2 linked regions of the Mus musculus genome follow. Each later gene encodes a partner of the first gene's protein in a complex. Links are inferred from orthologs where the notes say so. Each region holds a gene or a part of one and is shown on either strand. Other genes may lie near its edges.

The links.
Region 2: the proteins of Ltk (region 1) and Alkal1 are in contact, whole or in part, in a crystal structure (PDB 7NX0), measured with the Homo sapiens proteins. The link is inferred for Mus musculus from reciprocal best matches to the Homo sapiens genes LTK and ALKAL1. Residues at the interface, in NP_002335.2 of Homo sapiens: Tyr124, His140, Phe143, Ala250, Ser251, Pro252, Glu253, Leu359, Phe360, Leu361, Gln362, Leu364, Ala365, Val366, Glu368, Glu372, Glu374, Arg376; in NP_997296.1 of Homo sapiens: His93, Arg96, Leu97, Asn100, Thr101, Arg102, Glu103, Arg112, Arg115, Leu116, Arg119, Leu120, Ser123.

Annotation. Positions count from the first base shown.
Region 1 is NC_000068.7:119,754,107-119,757,723, forward strand, and holds part of Ltk (leukocyte tyrosine kinase receptor isoform D precursor), read right to left. Parts: intron 1,608-3,617; coding exon 1,509-1,607; intron 1,178-1,508; coding exon 1,025-1,177; intron 568-1,024; coding exon 472-567; intron 259-471; coding exon 66-258; intron 1-65. UniProt on the Homo sapiens protein: Receptor with a tyrosine-protein kinase activity. Following activation by ALKAL1 or ALKAL2 ligands at the cell surface, transduces an extracellular signal into an intracellular response.
Region 2 is NC_000067.6:6,358,074-6,362,358, forward strand, and holds the start of Alkal1 (ALK and LTK ligand 1 precursor), read left to right. Parts: upstream 1-1,257; coding exon 1,258-1,441; intron 1,442-4,285. UniProt on the Homo sapiens protein: Cytokine that acts as a physiological ligand for receptor tyrosine kinase LTK, leading to its activation. Monomeric ALKAL1 binds to LTK, leading to LTK homodimerization and activation.

The sequences.
Region 1 (3,617 bases):
AGGAGGAAGGATGGGGAGGAGGGCTTCAAAGTGCACATCATTGCAGAAGGAGGTTGAGGACTCACCTGAGTAGAGTGACATTGGCTGGTGAAACCTCAGTGAGCCCTGGGGGCAAAGGCCAGGGCTGGGCAGGACTGAGTCCCACCTGACAATAGTAAGGGTTGGGTGCTGTCCTGATGGCAGAGGATCGAAGCTTGCTTAGCTCAAGCTCAGGGCCTGGCAGCCTGGTCCCCCACAGGCCCTGACACTTCTGGTTCACTGTGGGTGAGAAGAGAGGTATTTATCAGGCCCACACTGCTTCCCCAGGCCCAGGACTCCCTGGCACTACTCCTAAAAGCTGAGAGGACTCCACCATTGCTCTGTGGGGTAAGGGCCATGATGTCAGCCACATTTAGCCTAGAACCACAGAGAAGCCCATCACAGCCTAGGAGAGAAGGGTCGGCCTGCATCAGCCATGCTAGATGCCCATACCTAGAATCAGGACTGCACACATCATTAGGAGACTCAGTGCCAAGGCTGCCACTACAGCTCCCATCAGGATCAGAGGGCTTGCGGTGGTTGGCAGGTCTAGGGAGAAAGAACAATGTCACCTCCAGCAGGAGGGTCCTCTGTCCTGCTACCCTCAAGTATTTTTCTCGTTTGTCTTGTGTTTTGTTTTGTCTTGTTGTTTTTGAGATAGGGTCTCCCAATAACCCAGGCTGGGCTCAGACTCTCAATTCTGCTGCAGCCTACTCACTGCTGGGATGAGAGGTGTATGCTACCATGACTGGGTACCCTTAAATCTTATCCATGCTTCAAGCCCCATCTCAGTGTTTACTTTCCCACAGTGCCACCCACAGTTGTCCCCAGACAAAAGCAACTCTCCCTCTCGAGAGCCCCTTAACTATTTGATACCTTCCATAGCAACTGCCATTTTTAGATACATATCTATATCTAAATATCCATCTTGCCTCCCACACTGGCCTACATGTTCTTGACAGGAGACTGTGCCCTGATCCATTTCCAATGCTCTATGAAGACATACCCATGCAAGTGACATTATCCACAGCTAGCTCCGTGCCCTCTGGGCACGTGCATTCGGCCGTCCAGAGCTCTGCCTGCCACTGGCAGTCTTTGAAAGGGCAGTGACTGCAGTTGGGATGCTTTCGGATCTCCACCTCCCCATGGCCCTCTGTGACTGCAGAGTAAAAGAGTAGACATGGTGGGATGGGAAGTGGGGGTGGGGATGGGGATGGGACACACAGGTCTTTCCAGTCATATGGCTACTCCTAGTCAGGAGTGGTCCCAACCACAGCAACACAAAGGGTGATGTCAGAGCCCCGGGGACTTAATTTCTGTTGACTGATTTCATTCAGAGGTAGACCAAGCCATGCACACACATGCTTGTGAAGTCAGACTTTCTTTTCTTCTTCTACTATGGTGTCAGGTCACCAAGCTTGAGAGGCAACGGTTTTACCAGATTGAGGAGGAGCTGGCCAGGCTGAGAATCAGGGGTTCCAGACAAATACCTGCCAGAGGCTGTAGGTAGAGCTCACCACTGGGGTGGACAAAGGATGTGCCATCTTCCCCATCAGCCCAGAGGAGGTCAGACTCAGAAGTATCACCGCCTTGAAATGGAGAGTGATAGAGGTTTTTGTTTTTTGTTTTTTTGTTTTTATTATTATTACATGTAAGTACAGTGTAGCTGTTTTCAGACACAGCAGAAGAGGGCATCAGATCTCATTACAGATGGTTGTGAGCCACTATATGGTTGCTGGGATTTGAACTCAGGACCTTCAGAAGAGCACTCATTGCTCTTAACCCCTGAGCCATCTCTCCAGTCCCCAAAAGGTGCTTAGCATCTTTTGTTTGTTTGTTTGTTTTGGTTTTGGTTGGTTTTTTTGTTTGTTTGGTTTTTTGAGACAGGGTTTCTCTGTGTAGCCCTGGCTGTCCTGGAGCTCACTTTGTAGACCAGGCTGGCCTCAAACTCAGAAATCCACCTGCCTCTGCCTCCCTCTTAAATCCTCTGCTGGGATTTAAGGCGTGTACCACCACCACCCGGCTGATGGAGGTTTAACTACAAAAAGGAGACTGGTTGAGGAGGAGCATGCAGCTGCCTTGTGTGGGAAGCTGGCTTATGACCAGCAGGAAAGCTAAGATCTCCCATTGTAAATCGTGTGCTAATGACACTGCCATTGAGGGGCTAGAGAAAGGGGGACTGGCTATTCTGCTGGAACCCAAAGACCTGGCTTAGCCTGGCTGGACCCCTTGTCTGTCTGAGCCCCTCCAGACCATACATTGAGCTGTGAAATGAGGAATGTTCAACCCACAAACTCCATTCCTGTGTGAACAAAGATGTGTCATGAAATATTTATGAACAGTCCAGGCCTGATAGACTAGGAGTTCTACATCAGTATCCCCAAATTCTGTAGCATCTTAGGACCTGTTAAAACAGAAGACCAGCACCTTTCCTGCTGACCTCCCCCTTGCCCCCCATGCATTTCTCTTTAAAATGAACTATAGTAACTAAATTTTAATCAACAAATAAGAACTGTGTAGTATTGTGCATAGTATGATACTTTGAAATGTGCATGCATTGTGCAATCATTTAAGCCGTCAAACCGTTTTTTGTAGTGAGAGCACCTCAGAAATACTCTCTTAGCCATGTTGTTGAGACTAGGGGTGTAGCCTCGTGGGAGAGCATTTCTCTAGCATGCCCAAGGCCCTTGGTTTGACCATAGGCTGGGTTTTATTCCCTATACTGACAGAACCAAAAATATTGGTATTAATTGTGATTAGTATATTGAACTAAAGATAACTTAAATTGACTCCTCCTATCTAATTAAGTTTTGTTTTAATGTTTGACCAACATCTCAGATTTTATCTCTGTATTTTTCTTTCTTTTTTTTGGTTTTTGGTTTTGGTTTTTTTGTTTTTTTGTTTTTTTGTTTTTGTTTTTTTTTGTTTGTTTGTTTGTTTTTTTGAGACAGGGTTTCTCTGTATAGCCCTGGCTGTCCTGGAACTCACTTTGTAGACCAGGCTGGCCTCGAACTCAGGAATTCGCCTGCCTCTGCCTCCCGAGTGCTGGGATTAAAGGCGAGCACCACCATGCCCGGCTGAATTTTTATTTCTAATAACTTCTGTGATAAGCACACTTTGAGAACTACTGATTTAAACCATTCTTGCTCATAGGCCTCCCAGCGCAGCATGCTAACAAGACCGGCCCTAAATTCCTTAGACTTTGGCAGAGTAAGGATTTGTTTTGGAACGGGCACTTGATTTAATTGCGTGTGTGATTTGCAATTGATTTTTGGGCTTTTCTTTTTTGTTTTTAAATCAAAGTTCCGTTGTGGGGCCCTAACCGGCCTGAAACTCACAGAGATCTGCCTGTTTCTGTTTCCTGATAGTAGAATTAAAGGAATGTGCGACCAAGCATGGGTAATTTGGCCCTTTGTAAAAGACAAAACAAGACCAGCCTGCTTGGTGGTGGTGCAAGCCTTTCATTTCAACTCCTGGGAGGCAAAGGCAGGTGGGTATCTGTGAGTTCGAGGCCAGCCTGGCTTACAGAGGGAGTTCCAGGTCAGCCTGTCTCAAAAAAGAAACCCAATCTTAAAACAAAACAAAACCAGACAAGTCTG
Region 2 (4,285 bases), on another chromosome or scaffold:
TGCCTGGGAATGGGAGCATCAACATGCTATGGTGTTTGCTTAGGAATCAATGGTTCGCTTACTGCTTCCTCAAGCGTTCTGAGTGGGAAGTCTGCACAACAACTTTCTTGAAAGAGTTCTAGTCAAAGGCATGACTTTATAAAGCTCTTATAAAAGTGTTTTGTGCCTCCTGCTACAATTTCCTGGGCATGCTTGAAAACGTAATGCTTGAGTAAATTGAGATTTTTTATTTTCAGTTTGAGACACACAGGTCTCTTTGAAGAGAAATTTCGAGCCAATCAATGATTAGAGAACCACAGAGCCTTTCCATCCCCCTCAGTTATGAGAGGGTAATTAATAATCAAGCATGGGCATGTTGATATGTATACTTAAGTCAGGCAGACAAAATGGCTCAAATCATAACTGACAAAGTACTGCTTCATCTAAGACTCTTGATTTTAAACGAATGAATTTATCCTCTCCCATTCTTTGATATTAACACCGACAAAACTTTGTGATAAGAGTCCCATAATTATAGATAGATAGATAGATAGATAGATAGATAGATAGATAGATACATAGATAGAGGATAGATAGTTAGATAGATAGATAGATAGATAGATAGATAGATAGATAGATAGATAGATAAAAACAGGCAAATAAAAAAACCAGCCATGAAGATCTCTAGTCTCCAGTACAGAGGTAGTTGTGCCCCGGTGTGGCCACTCATGGCTTCTGCTGTCCCGATTATAAATCCTTTGACTTTCTAGGGGAGGCTCTGCCTCCTCTAGGTCTCTGACCGATGGGGACTCTGGACTCAGGGACAGCGGGAATGCTCACCTGGCCAGCTCTGTGGCATTGCGGAGCTCATGATCCAAGAGCTCTGCACCCTGCCTCTGCCAGCAGAAACCCCATCCCGCTCTCTTGTGTCCAGAGCTACAAGTTGCTTTCGATCCCATGGACCAACGGAAGCCATGACCCAGAGACCCACAATTAAGGCATGAGACAGAGCCGGATAGAACTTGTGACTCGCCGGTGCGACTTGGTCCTGTCTCTGCCCCACATCCTGAAGCCGAGGAAAAGATCCCCCCGGAAGCTGCGTGAGCTCCGGAGGGTCCTGTGTCCCGACATACCCTCGTCCTGGGTTCTCTTGGTCCCCCAGCACCGCCCCGCCTCCGGTCCCCGCCCAGCGCCCTAGAGCGTTTAGACCTAGTCACCCGCGCCTCCAAGTTCCATTGCCGCCCCAGCCTGCCGCTCCCAGCTACGGACACGGAGGCCATGTGGCTCACTAAGCCCAGCACCCCGGTGTCCGCACTGCTGCTGCTGGCGCTGGCTTTGTCCCCGCCTGGGACTCAGGGGCGGCCCCAGAGAAGCTTGGCAGCGCGTGTCGCTGAGCTCAGGCCAGAGCTCTTCCTCCCTGTGACAGGGACTCGCCTGCCTCCCAGAGCCTCCCGGAGCACAGGTAAGCCCTGTATGACCCCTGACCTGCCCTTTCTACAGTCTAACCACTCTTATAGCTGGGCAAGCTGCTGTCGGGAAGGCTGAATTAAGTAGAGCAGAGGGTGGACACCTGTAGATTCCTGGGAATCTTTTCCCTGGGAAGGAAATAACAGGTTGACTATATTTGCCTTGGTTCAGTCTTCAACAACAAAATTCGTCTGGGGGGAAAAAAATCAGCTTTATATGCCTCATTCCTAACTGTGGGAGGTCTTTTGGAAATACATTAACCCAACTGTGGAAAGACTCGGGTCGCAACCTTGCCTTTCAGGATGATGGACAATCTATGTATGTGACAATAGATCACCGTCCAGAGATCTCTCTGGGTCTTCTGCGGTTTAACTAACATGGCACTCCTCAGGCAGAGTGGGAATTTCAGGGAGCTGCCACGGCTGAGGCTGCTTCGATCTTTTTTGCCCCTGGATCAGTTAGATGGGCCCTAAACGCTACAATCTCTTCCAATGTCAAGTCTGGACATTCCTGCTATCAAGATGCTTAGGAGGAAGGTAGGAAAAGTTGTCAGGATAGAGAACCAGCACCGCAAGACACCTACACACAGAGATGTGTGAATGAAAAGGCAAGGGGAACAGGAGGTGTAGAGAAAGGATTGCTGGGAGCAGTGTAAGAGGCTGGCAGGTGGTGGTGAGGAAGAGAAAAGCCACTTTGGAGTATCTTTGCATAAGCCTGTAGTCAGAGCAAGGGGAAGCTGGAGCAAAGGGCCTGTCTCCCTGGCCTTCACTGAACTTGCTGAGAGAACAAAGCAAGCACAGGGGTGGCTTGGGTTAATTATACCACTGCACCCAAGGCCTCTTCTGCACCCTCTCTCCCTTTCTCTCTTGCTCCTTCCTTGAGCCTTATTTTCTTCCTTCCTTTTCTTCTCCCTCCATTCATTTTAATTCCCTTTTGTCTGAAGCAGAGTCGCACTTTGTAGCCCCCGCTTCACAGCCTCCTGGGTCAGCCTTAGAATTATTGGCATATACTACCATAGTAGCTCAGGCTTCACTTTAAAGAAAACAAGAGGTGAGGATTTCTTAGTCTCTCTCTCTCTCTCTCTCTCTCTCTCTCTCTCTCTCTCTCTCTCACTCTCTCTCTCTCACTCTAGCTGGTTTTGTTTTGTCTTGAAGTTTTACTCCATAGTTCAGACTACTTGGAACTCAATCTATAGTTCAGGCTGTCCTTGAATTTGCAGAAATCTTCCTGCCTTCACATCCCAAGTTCTGGGCTAAGAGGTGACCCATACCTATTTTACCAGTTATGATATAAATATATTCCCAGTCACCCTATAGCTTCTAGTGAGAAATTCCTTCCCAGGTACATACCTTGCAGAGAACTGAGATCAAGAAGATGGATAGGAGGACAAGTGTGTCTGTCCTTCACTACATGTCTGAGGGAGAGAGAGTAGGGGCGTGCACATACACAGACTGAGTGAGCCAGGCAGGGAGAGAAGCAGAGGGAAGTGACAGAAAGACATGGAAGGCTAGTAAGGGGATATAGACCAAACCTATTTATCTGGAAGCTCTCCAGATAAGGCAGTAGGGGCATTCAGTATGGGGGAGTCATACCTTGATGCTTTCACATTATTATACCCTTTGACTTGAAAATTATTGCTAACAAAACTATTTATCTCAGGTACTAGTGTTGCTTTAGAATACAAACGGAACGTGAGAAAAACATCAAATTGCAAAATCACTTATGGTAACACATGAATTTTACCTGTTTTATTTTAGTTTAATGCGATTTCTCTGGTTAAAGACATTGGAGAAAATTGGGGGATATAGTTCAGTGGTAGAACTATATCCTAGAACACATGCGGGCCTAGATTCAACCAGCAATTCTCCTCCCAAATGACAAAGAAGATGTAAAAACCGTATAGCCTCAAAGAAAATGAGCTATGACTCACCCTCAAAATTTATTGCTTTCTACAGCTGTTTGAGGTGGCCTCATCTTTTGATTACTGTATCTTGTTTACATGGGGAGAGAGAGGGTGACTGGTTACATCTGAGTCTATGAATGGAACTCTTGACATGGATCAAGGAAAAGCAAGGACATGAATGCAGAGAAGACAAGTTCCCATCGGGAAGTTTTCATAGGAGCGGTAAGTGGTCATAATTCATCCAGGAGGAAGCGTCTCCCAAGTCCTCGAGGCCAACGACTGTCATCCATGTTGAGCAAGCCTGCAGTTGCCCTCTGTTAGTCTAAAGTAGAACCTGTAATGTTACCCAGCCTCAGCTGGTGAAAAAAAAAAAACGAGTTCAGGGGTGGTTTAAAATGTCCTGGAACTCCCACTGGGTAATCGTGTGAGAGTAGCAGAAGTCTCTTGTGTCCCTGCCTGTGTTTTTAGGCTTAAGTTCTGGAATTCTTTCTTTTTTTTTTTTTTTTCTCTGGAATTCTTTCTGCACCTGTAAAAACTACCTCAAATGCAGCTTCTCCTCTGGTACTTTGACCACACAGATCATCTCTGGCACTGCATTGTGGTGGATCTTCCTGCACACCACAGAAGCAGTTCTGCAGTAAACACCAGCTGGGGTTCTAATTTAACTTGGTTCTGGCATTTACCATCTCTTGAAGATGAGAGTCAGAACCTACAAGCTGAGGACTGTCTCTAAGACTGTCACTGCCTCCATTGCCAACTGCAAACTCTGGGTGGTTTTACTTGTGATTCTGAGCTTCTAGCTAAGTAAGAATCAAGGTTCCCATACTGTCCCCTCAGATTTCCACTAATTTTCTGCAATGGCTCATAAAAGTGAAAATATGCACAGTAGATACGGCATAGGGGAAGGGGCATGGGTGAGCAAACATCCCACCCCAC